Linked DNA regions of Mus musculus: region 2 is reported to be linked to region 1. The links are microRNA targets in miRTarBase. Many come from high-throughput screens and were not tested one by one. Region 1 holds a microRNA gene; the other region holds the end of a gene's coding sequence.

Region 1 (7,265 bases):
GTTTGTTTGTGCTGTGTTTTTAATCAGTATCTTTTTAAGTTGTCCAGGCTGAGCCAGTAAGTTAACTCAGTGAGTAACGGCACCTGCCATGGAGTCTGGTGACTTGCGTTCGGTGCCAGGACCCACATGGTGGACAGAGAGAACCAAACAGTGTACACTGCTGGCTGGGAACTCAGCATCATCAGCATCTGCATCTCAAATGCTGGATTACAGACACACAGCATCACGCCTGGTGTGAGCCGAGCCTTGATGGAAACCTTGCAACTAGCCATTAAAGAAGAAGGGGAGAGGGGCTGGAGAGATGGCTCAGCGGGTAAGAACACTGACTGCTCTTCCAAGAGTCCTGAGTTCAATTCCCAGCAACCACATAGTGGCTCACAACCATCTGTAATGGGATCTCATGCCCTCTTCTGGTGTGTCTAAAGACAGCTACAGTGTACTCATATACATAAAATAAAGAAAAAGGGGAGTCTGGAAGGCAATGATTTTATGCAAGAATAACCTGTGTGTGTGTGTTTCTGGGGTTCCCTGGCAATCTACAGGTTTAGGGACTCCATTCAAAAAAAAAAAAAAAAAAAGTGAACAACTTTAATCCCAGCACTCTGGAGGCAGAGGCAGGTGGATCTCACTGAATTCAAGGCCAACCGGGTCTACAGAGTGAGCCCAGAACAACCATGGCTACACAGAGAAACCCTGTTTCAAAACAAAAACAACAACAGCAGTAATAATAATGTGGTGGACTGGCAGGCTGGCTCAGCAGGTAAAGCCTCCTGCTACAAAAGCCCTGGCAAGCAGAGGGCGATTCCCAGGACCTACATAAAGGTGGAAAGAGAGAATTAATTCCATGAAGTTGTCTTTGACCTCCACAAGCATGCCCATATCATGTACACACACACACACACACACACCAAAAATTAAACAATTTTTTTGTTTTGTTTTGTTTTGAGACAGTGAGACAGGGTTTCTCTGTGTAGCTCTGGCTGTCCTGGAACTCTCACTCTATAGATCAATTGGCTTTGAACTCAGAGATCTGCCTGTCTCTGCCTCCTGTGCTTGTACTAGTACTAGAGGTACATCCCACCACCACCAGGCAACAAATATATATATATTGTTTTTTCGAGACAGGGTTTCTCTGTATCACCCTGGCTGTCCTGGAAATCACTCTGTAGACCAGGCTGGCCTTGAACTCAGAAATCTGCCTGCCTCTGCCTCCCCAGTGCTGGGATTAAAGGCGTGTGTCACCATGCCCGGCGACAAATAAATTTTAAGGTGAAGCTGAGTATGGTGGTGCACACCTTTAATCCCAGCACTCAGGAGGCAGAACCAAGCCAGTTTCTGTGAGTTTGAGACCAGCCTGATCTACACAGCTAGTTCCAGGCAGTCCAGGGTTACCTAGTAAGACCCCGTCTCAAAAACAAAACAAAACAAAAATTGTGAAGATGCAATTAAGGAACATACCTGTCACCAGCCTTTGGCTTCCACACAAAGTGGAAGAGTGTACATGTGTCCACATGCATATGCCACACGCATGCATGTACACACATAGAAGAGCCTATACGGTCGGGGAAGTGCCACAGCGCACAGGAAACAGAGGAAAGAAACCCCACGTGCTAGATATAGCTATTATTCATAGTCACCATGAATTCTCCCAGATCTAGGAGCAGGTGCGGGTCAGTCTAGAGAAGGAGCCTGGCCTGGATCACAATGGTCCTTCAGTGCCAGCTAAGAAGTTTGGGGCAGACACGCTGGTCGCTGGTCGGGATGCCTGCCGTTCCAGCCTCTACTTCCAAACAGGATTACATCACCCACTCAGAGAGGCCCAACCAAGCTGCCTTTTTTTTTTTTTTTTTTTCCCTAGATAAGGTTTCTGTCTTAGTGTGTTTTCTATTGCTGTGATAAAGATCATGACCAAAAGCTACCAGGGAGGAGGGGTTTTGTTTGGCTTGCACATTCTGGCCACAGTTCATCGTGGAGGGAAGTCAGAGAGCTGCAGCTGAGTGCACAGAAGGCTGCTGCTTATCAGCCTGATGTTCAAGGCTTGCTCAGGCGGCTTTGGTTTCTGATCTTTTCCTTTCCTTTCCTTTCTCTTTCTCTTCTTGTTGCTGAGACAGGGTTTCTCTGTGTAGCTCTGGCTGTTCTGGAACTCACTTTGTAGAATAGGCTGGCCTCAAACTTAGAGATCTTCCTGCTTCTGTCTCCTGAGTGCTGGGATTAAAGGTGTGCACCACTATACCTGTCTTCAACCTGCTTTCTTTCTTGCTTTCTTCCTTTCTTTCTTCCTTTCTTCCTTTTTTCTAAAGAATTATTTATTTTGTGTATATGAGTACACTGTCACTGTCTTCAGAAGTTACCAGATCTCATTACAGATTGCTGTGAGCCACCATGTGGTTGCTGGGAATTGAACTCAGGACCTCTAAAAGATCAGTCAGAGCTTTCAACTGCTGTGCCATCTCTCCAGCCCCAACCTACTTTCTTATACCACCCAAGACCATCTGATTAGAGGTGGCACTGCCCACAGGAGCTGGGCACTCCCACATCCATCATTTGTAATTAAGAAAATGCCCTGCATACAGGTCAATCCAGTAAAGGCAAATCCAGATTCCAAAACTTGGATTCCTTCTTTTCAGATGTCTTATGTTTGTGTCAAGTTGGCAAAAAACTGATTAGCGAGATTCAGCTGTGTAGCCCTGGCTGGTCTGGAACTTGCTATGTAGACCAGGATAACCTCAAACTCGTAGAGATCTGCCTGTCTCTACCTTCCTGTCTCTAGTGCTGTTTTTGGTTTTGGTTTTTTGAGACAGGGTTTCTCTGTGTAGCCCTGGATGTCCTGGAACTCACTCTGTAGACCAGATTGATCTCAAATCCAGAGATCTCCCTGTATCTGTCACCCAAGTACGAGTATTAAAAGTATGTCTCAGGCTGGTGAGATGGCTCAGTGGGTAAGAGCACCCGACTGCTCTTTCAAAGGTCCTGAGTTCAAATCCCAGAAACCACATGGTGGCTCACAACCATCTGTAACGAGATCTGACGCCCTCTTCTGGAGTGTCTGAAGAATAGCTACAGTGTACTTACATATAATAAATAAATATTTTATGTAAGTTATTATATGTAAGTACACTGTAGCTGTCTTCAGACACACCAGAAGAGGGAGTCAGATCTTGTCACCAGCCCTATTTTTTTTAAAAAAGTATGTCTCACTACACACACACTTATCTGGGTTTGACCTTTAAAACTGGCAAACTTGGGCTGGTGAGATGGCTCAGTGGGTTAGAGCACCCGACTGCTCTTCCGATGGTCCAGAGTTCAAATCCCAGCAACCACATGGTGGCTCACAACCATCCGTAACAAGATCTGATTCCCTCTTCTGGAGTGTCTGAAGACAGCTACAGTGTACTTACATATAATAAATAAATAAATCTTAAAAAAAAAAAAAAGATTTACTTATTTACTTTATAAAAAAAATAAAATAAAAATAAAAAAAAAACTGGCAAACTTGAGGCAGGTTACCAGCTCTTGTGGTTGTTGCTGAGGACCAAGTTAGTTTCCAGCCCTCGCACGGAGGACCATAAACATCTGTATTGCCCACTCCAGGGGTTTGGAATCCTCTTCTGGATCTGTGGGCACCAGACATGCATGATGCGGTAGCACCCATGCACACCTGCAGACAAAACATGCATACACATAAAATAAAAATAAGTAAATCTGCCGGGCAATGGTCACATATGCCTTTAATCCTAGCCCTCAGGAGGCAGAGGCAGGTGGATCTCTGAGTTTGAGGCCAGCCTGGTCTACAGAGTGAGTTCCAAGACAGCCAGGGCTACACAGAGAAACCCTGTTTTGAAACGCACTCCCCACAATCCCCTGTGGAGGGGCTGGTGCTGTGACTCAAGAACAGAGCATTTGGAGGCAGAGGCAGGAGGATTTCTGAGTTTGAGGTCAGCCTGGTCTACAAAGTGAGTTCCAGGACAGCCAGGGCTACACAGAGAAACCCTGTTTCAAACAAACAAACAAACAAACAAACAAACAAACAAACAGAACAGAGCATTTGCCCCACATGTGCAAGGCTCTGGGTTTTTCCCCAGCCTGGTGTGTGTGTGTGTGTGTGTGTGTGTGTGTGTGTGTGTGTGTGTATGTGATAGAGAGAGAGAAAGACAGAGATAGAGACATACAGACAGACAGGTCAGTACAGATACATGTACTATTATTAATCTTCCCTCCCAAGGAAGCAACCACAATTTTTAAGGGTGGGAGGAGGCACCTGAGGGCCTCCTGGCTTCAGTTGTCTATGCATTCCGACTGTTCTATCATTATCACGGAATATCGGAGGAAGACTTATGCTGCCTTATCATCTCAGAACGCTCAGTCTGTTGTCAGCCAGCTCCACGGTTCCTGCCCCTGGTGAGGCAGAGGGGCTCACTTTACGGCCACCAGGAAGCAGAAATAAATGGCAGGAAGAGACCTGTGAGAAATACAATCCCCAGTGGTTAAGAGCACTTCCAGAGGACCTGAGTTCAATTCCAAACACGCCCATGGCACCTCACAACTGTCTGGGGCTCCAGTTATAGGGTGTCTGACACCTTCACACAGATGTCCATGAGTCCAAGAGAAAAAACAATGAACATGAAATAAAACTAAACTTAAAAAAAACCTTACAAGCCGGGCGTGGTGGCCCATGCCTTTAATCCCAGCACTCGGGAGGCAGAGGCAGGCGGATTTCTGAGTTTGAGGCCAGCCTGGTCTACAGAGTGAGTTCCAGGACAGCCAGGGCTACACAGAGAAACCCTGTCTCAAAAAACCAAACCAAACCAAACCAAACCAAACCAAACAAACAAACAAACAAACCTTACAAAAATAAATAAATAAATAAACAGTCCCTAAGGACAAACGGGTTCAGTGACCTACTTCCTCCGAGTAGCCTTGCCTTCTCCTTTGTCTTTGACCTAGAACTGACCCTATTCTTTGCCTGTGCCTAGAATAGTATAATAGCAGAGGAATTGAAGTTGCTGCTCAGCAGCCTTGCTCCATTTATACAGCCCAGGGTCTGCTCCCCAGGGAACAGGCCTGCCCACTGTTAAAAGTGGCTCCTCCTTTGTGGTGGCTGGTGTATGAATGAATCGCACAAGGCCAGAGGCACAGGAAGGTGGATCTCTGTGAGTTCCATTGTGAAAGTCCTAAGACCCTTTGATATAGCCAAGATAATCCCCTACAGGCATGCCCAGAGACTCGACTGCCAGATGATTTTAAATATTTTCCAGGTAACTCTAGTTGATTATTGGCAATAGTCATGACAGGGTCTCATGTAGCCCAGCCTATCCTCAAACTTGCTATGTAACTCTGGCTGACTTTGAATTTCTGACCCTCTTGCCTCTGTACCTCCTAGTGTTAGGGTTAGTGTTAGGCTTGCTCCGCCACACCAGGTTTATCCAGTGCTGGTACTCATACCCAGGCCTAAGCACTCCACCGACTGAGCCACATCTCTAGCCCTGGCTTATCGGATCAAAATATCCAGATCAATTGCATAGCAAGGAAGGAAAGGAGAGGTGGAGAAGATTAGCTAGCCTGTTCTCCCACCTCAAGAAGGCTGGTGGTGGTGGCTCACACCTTTGATCACTCAGGAGGCAGAGGCAGGCAGATCTCTGAATTCGAGGTCAGCATGGCCTACAGAGTGAGTTTCAGGATGGCCACAGCTACACAGAGAAACCCAGTCTTGAAAAATAAAAACAAACAAAAAGAATGCTATAAAAATCAGGGACAGTCCCTAAAGAAGTCTCAGATAAGGCTTCATTTGCATATGTCACTTAGCAACCCAGGAAGCCCTGGTTGCTGACTTTACACTCCCCATGCTGGCCTCACACCAGCAGGGCAGCCAGCCATGGTTTCTACCTGGGAGCTAAGTACACAGCGCAGAAGAGTGTAGCTGGCTCTTTATGACTGAAGTCATAGAGGATTGCCTAGCCTAGCTCATAATATCACAATATCACAATATCTTGGGTTCCATTCTCAGCACCGTGATAGAGGTAGCTCGGTGCAGGATGATTTAAACATTCAAAGTCATCCTGAGCCACAAGTCCAAGGCTAGCCTGGGCTACAGGAAATCGTGTCTGAGAAGTAAAAATAAGAGCTATGGAGATGGGTCAGTGAGTAAAGGTGCTTGCAGCCAAGACGGACAGCTTAAGTTCAATCCCTGGGACCCACAAATAGAAGGAGAGACGCACACCCTTCCAGCTGTCCCTCTCAGCCCTGCAGAAGCGCTATGGTATGTGCGTGCACATACATATACACAAAATAAATAAACAAAAAATAGCGAGAGGGAGAGAGGAGGAGGAAGAAATGGAAAGATTGTGAAAAGCAGAGAAAAGAGATCCCGTATTGGAAAGTATAGACAAAAGAACCAGTGCCCCCCAATCCACTTTTGGGGTACCAACATGAGCTTTAGATTAAACAGAAAGAATTGAGCTGGTGTGAGAGCTACATGTAATTAAGTAGTTATTATTGTATCAGCTGTCGTTCTGCGCGGCTTCTGAAGATGTCTTTATTGCTTGAGGGGTCAAGTCTGTTCCCATGAGGTGAGTACTTCTCCTTGGGTATGATCTCATCATGGAGTGATCTCTCAGAGAGGTTTGCTGTTCCCTGGACCAAAGACAGCTGGGGGTTCAGGGTAATAGGAACATCAGTTGCCTTTTGAGGTTCTGGACAGAGATGCTCTAAGAGTCGAGAGTAGTCAGGCATGGAGGGGCACCACCATCAGGAAGGATTGATGCAAACTGGAGACCAGCCTGAGCTACATAGGAAAACCTTGAGGACCGGGCAGTGATGGTAGCAGAGACTTTAATCCCAGCACTTGAGAGACAGAGGCAGGTGGATCTCTGTGAACTCAAGGCCAGCCTGGTCTACAGAGTGAGTTCCAGGATAGCCAAGGCTACACAGAGAAACCCTGTCCTGAAAAACAAACAAACAAATGAACACCCTGATTCAGAGAGAATAAAATAAAGCGGGCAGTAAGATCCTTCAGTCACTCACTCATCTCTGTGACTTTCGTTTTGAAGAGGAGTAAGATTCCCACTGTGGCTATTATTATTGTTGTTATTGTTGTTGTTGTTGTTGTTACTAAGACTACTGTTGTTATTATTACAGTTACTTATTTAGTTTGTGTGGGCAAACACATGCCACAGCTTGTCTGTGTGGAGGTCAGAGAACACCTTGAAAGAGATGGTTCTCCTCTTCCACCATAGGGTTCCTGGGAACTAAGCTCAGATCCTACAGGG
Region 2 (7,000 bases), not on the chromosome of region 1:
GATTCTTAAGAGTCCTGAGCAAGGGGAAAGGTTGTGTGTCAGACAAGAGCTGGCTTTTTTTTCCCCATGTAAGGTCATGACTCAAGTGCCTGGTGATCATTCAGGAGAAGGGCTGTGGCTACCTGGAACTCGGTTTCGGCACCATCGGTGGGGGTGGGGCTGTAGCGAGCTGGAGCCTAACACCTGGGTTAAGACTTTGTCCTTGGGCTGGAGAGATGATGGTTCCGTGGTTAAGAGCACTAGCTGCTCTTGTAGAGACTTGGGCTCCCAACTGTCTGTATCTTCTGTACCCCCTCACACAGACATGCAGTCAAAGCACCAATGTATATAAAATTTAAAAATTAAATTAAAAAAAATGTTGAGCTGGAGTGTTGGCTCAGTGTGTTAAGAGCACTTGTTGAAAGAACGCAGGTTTGATTCCCACATGGAGGCTCACCACATCCTCAAGTTCCCGCACCTGTAGTGCAGGCACACATGAAGACAAAACACTCATACACATAAAATAATCTAAAAGTAAAAAATAAAAAACAAAAATTGTCAGCCCCTAGTCCCGAGATAAAGTCCACCCGCCTTCAGCTCCTCAGACTCCACTACCTGTTTTTGTAACCAGGCTCCATTTACCTCATCCACTAGAACCCTGATGAAGCAGTCACGCCCATATTCCAGTACTCAGATTCTACCTTCAAGTTCATCATCCAGGCCTCCAGCTAGGACAGCGCATCCATCCTAAACCCTCTGCTTCTCATTAGACCACCCCAAGTCTGCTTCCAGACTCACTACAGGGAAGAACCCTCCCCAGACCTTTTCTTGCCTGTCCCTCCACAAAGTTGTTCCTTCTTTGCAGATAAAGCGTTGAATGTGCAAGGGAGGGGAGCAGAGGCCAAGGTGAACAGCGATGATCTTTGTTAATGCTCAACCATCAACCTTTACAAATGAAAACCTCAGAACCTTTCTGTTGTGTCTGGCCAGTAGATCACAAACTGGGTTCTAGCCTGGAAAGGCATTTTGGAAACCTGGAAGAGAAGAGGGGCTGGGCTGCGCGAGATAAGGAAGGAACCAAGACAAAGCTCTCTGCTCAAGATTCAATTTTTACTATTTCGGCACTCAGTTATAAAGCAGGGGAAGGGGGCCCAATTCCCGCCAAATAATCTCGGGGTCCAGTAGCAGGGTGATCACGTGTGTGGCTCCAAACAGCAAAGCCGCACGTTCCAGCAGTGAGCGTGGCAGAACGATTGAGCGGGAAGCTCCACCCCTGAGCAAGCAGGTTTCAGGCTGGGGGAGGGGAGACTACACCTTTCTTTTCTTACTTTCTCTTCTTTTTGTTTAGGTTTTCTGTTGTTTTGTTTTGTTTTTTGAGACAGGGTTTCACTTTTGTAGCCCTGGCTGTCCTGGAACTCACTTTGTAGATCAGGCTGGCTTCAAACTCACAAAGATCCCATCTGCCTCTGCCTCCCAAGTGCTAGGATTAAAGGCATGCATCACCACATCTTGGTGAACTCGTTTTCTGAAGACTCTCAGGATCTGATAAATCACCTTAGTTCTGATAGGTTATTTCTCTGCCGGTGAAATGAGCCAAATCAATCCAGATTATAGTAAAGGCAGGTTTATTGGAAAGCTGTTCTTTGGCGATTTCACTGTCCACAGGGACTAAGGCCAGGGAGTCACCATTGAGGGGTGGATAGAGAAAGGGCTTTCAGAGAGTGGGTGAAGGGGAGGAGAAGTATACAGAGTTCTCTTGTTGTCTGTCTCAAGGATAGGAGAGCTGGTCTTTGACTTAGTGACAACCAGAAGGCAACCTGGGGTATATCACATTGCTTTTCAGGGAGCAACCCATTACCCTCCTCACCTGTTACATGAGCAGTATTAATCCCTTCCCTGGGATAATACTGACAGTTCCAGTAAGTTTTATCCTCTGTCTTTTGTCTATAAGCCTACTCTCCCTCCTTTCTTCCTAGAACAAGAGTTCTCCAGCCATATAAGCACGTACATTCCTGGGCCTATCTCCTCCTCCCTGTGCTCAACTCAAAGAGGCTCGTTTTCAGTATTGCCTTCTCCAGTCTGGTCCCTTTGACCCTTTGATTCCCAGAGTTAGGTAAACTTTTCTCCATAATGGGGACCAACTATTCCAACCAAGTCTCCCCTATGATGCAGTATTAAATCTCCCCACAGTTTTAGAGAAAATTACAGTGTTACCCTCATTAAGGAAAAACTGTTTTTGTGAGGTCAGTTGGCCTTCATGTAAAGTAAGCTGGCCAGCAGCAGGCTCCCTGGACCCCACCACTGCCCAAGCCATCTGGCTAAAGGTCAGAGGGACCCCAGAACACCTCAATCTGTTTCTTTATATTGACCATTGGCTAACCATTGTACAAAATCCCCATGCCTGGCTCAGAATCTGTGCCCTCCAACACTCTCCCACTCTCCTAGTCTGGAGTGTACACCCCCCCCCCCCCTTTGGAACCCTTTGTTAGTTCACCCCCCTTGGAAACAAGACTCTCCCTCTGCCTTACAATTCTCACCCTACTCCAGGCTCCCCCACCCCTCCCCAATTAACTCTACATCCCTCCTCTTCCTCTTTTCTTTCTCTTTGTCCACCTTCCCCAATGTTGAACTTAAAAAAAATGAGATCAAAAAAAAAAAAAAAAAAAGAAGAAGAAGAAGCCAAGTGATGGTAGTATATACCTTTGACTCAAGAGTATGTCTCAAGTTTCAGGCCAACCTGGTCTACAAAGAGTTCTAGACAACCCGAGTCTAAATGCTGAGACCATGTCTCAAACAAAATAAAACAAAACAAAAACTCCAACCAAGAAAACAAACAAAAAACTGAGGTTCCCAGGACAACCTTACTAGAATTTGAGTGGAGCAAGGTGTATGGAATTGGACATAACTAGGGTGAAGATGTATTCTGCAATGTAGAATCTGGCCATGATGTAAGAAGCCAAGTACTAAGATTTTCAGAACATCCAAGTATTTAAAAATAGAAAGGTACCTGTTTTCCTCACTATGCATAAGGGTGAAAAACTTTAAATCTGTAAAGTCTCTGCAGAGGTATATGCCACTGGAGGATGCTTTCATAAATGATCAGCAGTTAACCCGACATAAACAAACCAGGAGGTAGAGGGGCGGATTAGAGTTAGCCTCTGTTGACAGAGTGCTTGCTCAGCATGCTGCTTAAGATGCTCAAAGCCTTGGGTCATGAAGTCTAAGCACCATGTAAACCAGGCATGGTGGTGCAAGCCTATAATACCAACACAGGGCGGCAGAGACAGAGGACCACAAGTTACAGATCATCTTGGTGTGTAAGTTCAAAGCTAGCCTGGACTACAAAACCCTATTTTATTATTGTTTTCTTAAATGTATTTTAAGGTCATCCTCAGCTATATAGTGAATTTGAGATCAGTCCTGGCTGTAGAGACCAACCTAAACAAAACAAGAAATGTGATTACTGTCTCTTCAATCCTGGATAATCTTGTTTTTATGTTAATGCCCCAATATATGAAAAACAATCTTTTTTTAGATGGGGGTCTCGTTACACAGCTCTAGCTAAGCTGGAACTCACTATGTAGACCAGGCTGACCCTGAGGTAGTCCTCCTACCTCTGTAACACACATGCTGGGACTATACGTATGCAGCACAACTCCCATTAGAGTCTGATTTTACCGTCTAGGTGAGATCTAGGTGTGACCGTTTTTCTAAAGCTCCTGAAGTGATCCTGGCATGTGACTAAGATTGAGATTATCTATGACACTATATTCTGCAGGGGGCAAACAGATTTAGCCTATAGTTAACTTTTTTATTTATCAAGTTTTGACTGAAATCCCCAAATTTTAAGTTGGTTATGCATCAGAAAAGAATCAAATGGAATGAATAAGCATTTTATATGAGTTTTAAGCAAATTAATTAAAAGCATTATATAACTACTTAAAACTGAAGCTGGAGAACCCAGAGATGGTTCAGTGGTCAACAGCACTGGCTACCTTGGTTCTGTTCCCAGCACCCCCATGGCCGCTCACAAACACCTGTAATTTCAGCTCCAAGAGATCTAATGCTCTCTTCTGCCCTCCTTGGGCACTGCCCACATGCCTGCACAGACATACTTGCAGCCAAAACAGCAATACATATAAAATAAATAAAACCTAAAAAAACAAAGCAAAACAAAACCTTAACAAACCTGAAGCTAGTACTACTAATAAAAGTTCACTGTTGTGACTGTCTTCCTAACCACTGGGCAATGCTGTAATGACAAGATTTGAGAATAAAGTCATTTTATTTAAACTACAAACTTAAGTTTCTGTTTCAAATTATTTATTTTATATATCATGGTTGCACAACTTGAGGCTGGTTAAATACAATTGTTTTTCAAAATCTCCTTGAATATTTCCTAGATTATACATGCAAGTGACCATGAAAATATTTGGCATTTTGAAACTTTGAGACTCTGAACAGGCACTTACATGAAGGAGAACATGGCCGTCCTTAGAAACCCACATTGACAATAGCTGCTCCAGGACGTGGTATGTGAACCTTTGGCCAGGGCTGGTTGCTGGCCATTTTATCAAAGTGCCATCATAGTAAAAAATAGGTTTAAGGAAACATAAGTTGGGCTGTTGAGCTTCCTAGAAAGTAAAGTTAACTGACAAACCTGTACTGAGGTGTATCAAGGAACACTGGTACAGAAACCAACAAGCCCTGAGTGAGAGTGGCCCCCACACAGGCTTCCTCCTGCCCCATACGCCTCAGTTGTGTGTCTGTGCTCAGCTGACTGCAGCCTTCTTTTCAGAGAATGGTATGAATTTAGTGTTTTTTGTTCTGTTTGGTTCGGGTTTTTTTAAATAGACTACGTGAAGTCAAGTTTGAACTAGCCAATATTCCAGTTAACAAGAAATTGTCCGGCTATGGACACTTCGGCTGGTTCTCCCAAGCTCTCTCATTCCTAGGTGACGATTTGCATACACATGGAAAGTAGTCCTTAAATTAAAAAATATATACATGTTTCAAAGTCTTTATGGAAAAAAAATGATACAGGTTTAACAAGTTCTAAAATGCCAATGTGTCAACTCCACACTGCAGAACCTACATGATGATACAGAAAGTCATAGCAAACGTGGTCAATAAGGGGCAAGAGGGCCACGATGACAAACCATGTCATCCCTGGGGTGACAATCTTTCATATACCTCAGAGATCCCAAAGATTAAAATTCAGGAGGCTGTGAATGGTAGACCCAGAAGTGCCTACCATGTAACACCAGGTTGGTTTCTGATCCACATGTAAAAATAAACACAATTCTCAAAAATACTGAGGAGCCATGCCTTAAAACTTTGTAGGACATAAGGGCTGCTCAGGTTTTTCTCATTTTACTTGAACAAAAATATTTAATTTTTTGCACATAGAGAATAAGAGGTAATCATTAGCATGAAAACAGAGAAAAGGATTTTCAACATTATGCATAAAGAAAGCAAAATTACAAATACCAGTCTACTCACATGAAAATCCTTAATGTTTATGCTTCTGAGTGCTTATCAGTGTGCAGTAAAAAAGAAAACAAAAAAGGCAGCTTAGGAATTCTCCAGTGTTTCCAAGAAGCACTTTTTAAAATGTATATACACAAAACCTTTAATCATACTGTAAAATAAACGCAGCACTCTAGGATAAGGAAGACTAGCAGACGTGGAGTTGGGATGTCCGCACGCTGCGACTGTCGTCAGCCAGCTGAGCTGCTCTCTTGGCCCGGTTCTTGCACTTGCTGCTCTGCCCACCTGCTTACATCTCAGGCTGCTCCGCAGAGGCCTGCGAGTCTGGAGATTCAAACCGCTGGTGAAAGTTCGTCCTCTGTTTTCTCAGTTTCTCGGGTGCTTTTCTCCACAGGATGATCTCCTAGAGGAAATGCAAAACCGAAATGGAGTTCTCTGCTATGTCTTAGATGGTCACCATGGAAATACTGGCTGCAACTTCAATTTTAAGCTGTAAAACAATCCCAAATGCTCTGTACGAAAGCCCCCAACTTTCCTGGGTGACCCTTCCCCTCTCTCCGTACTCACAGTCAACCACCACAAATCCTAGCTGTATTGCTTTAGAAAATCCCCCAATCTGCTGTGGCCCCACTGCTTTCATCCAAGGTCAAGCCCTGAGTCTGCTTCCTGGGACACAGCTTTTGTTGTAAAACCATTTCTAATTCACCCTTCACTTCACTGCCACGTTCCTTGTATTAATTTGTACATTGTGTATGTGTGTGTGTGTGTGTGTGGCTACAGGACAACTTCTGGAGCTGGTTCTCCCCTCACCTGGCAGGCTCTGGGGGATGAGCTCAGGGCTTCAGCGTGGGCAGCAAGCACCTCTGCCCAGTGGGCCATCTCATTGGACCCCACACTGCTTGTTTTATAAACGCTGCTTATATTGAGCTTTGATAGTTCCCATTAGCTCCAGGATGAATTTCCAAATATATGAGGCCTGCCATACATTGCTCACCATTCCTTACACTAATTTACATATACCATTTCCCTTCCCTCCCTAAATGCCTCTCCCAAACTGAGTTATTCTCTGCTCTGATGCATGCCAAATGAACTGCCTACCTCTTTCCCTACACCACTTCCCAGTCACTATGGAGCTGTCTACCCATGATAGCTGAATCCCACCTTTCTCCTCTTCTAAATTCCTGCTTCAAGTCATAACTGACACGGATTCTTGTTTGTTTAAATTTATTTGTGTGTGTGTGTGTGTGTGTGTGTGTGTATGAATGCATGTATGTGTGTTGTGTGTGTATCTGGCTCCTACAGTAGACATGTGAGCACAGCCTGGGTACTAGGAGCCAAACCTGGGTTCTCTGCAAGCCCAAGTGCTCTTAACTGATGAACCACTTCTCCAGGCCCTTATTAGTCCTTATGAGACCAGGTCTTGCTATGTAGCCCAGACTAGTCTCAAACTCTGTGATCCTCATGCCTCATGGTGGCTCATGCCTAGCTAGCACAAAGTAATTTCTAACTTGGCTCTGGAACACTTACTTGG

The links. Region 1 holds the annotated microRNA mmu-miR-3965 (UGCUUAUCAGCCUGAUGUU, at 2,014-2,032, shown strand). A microRNA usually pairs through its seed, bases 2 to 8, with sites in the 3' UTR of a target mRNA and lowers its output. Matches are read on the target gene's strand: a 7mer-m8 pairs with bases 2 to 8, a 7mer-A1 pairs with bases 2 to 7 and ends in A, and an 8mer does both.
Region 2: the mRNA of Vps26a is a reported target of mmu-miR-3965. Seed matches in the 3' UTR shown: 8mer at 5,512-5,519.

What each region holds. Positions count from the first base shown.
Region 1 is chr5:134,324,481-134,331,745 of GRCm38, forward strand. Mir3965 (microRNA 3965) reads left to right here and starts at 1,974; the gene lies at 1,974-2,042.
Region 2 is chr10:62,450,987-62,457,986 of GRCm38, forward strand. It overlaps Vps26a (VPS26 retromer complex component A), which reads right to left. Exons shown (of 9, transcript NM_133672.3): 9 at 3,857-5,872. The coding sequence ends at 5,759. It overlaps 4930507D05Rik (RIKEN cDNA 4930507D05 gene), which reads left to right. Exons shown (of 1, transcript NR_027926.1): 1 at 1-367. It also overlaps a transcript of Supv3l1 not described here. Among named protein-coding and RNA genes, the nearest start is that of Supv3l1, 4.7 kb to the left of the region's middle.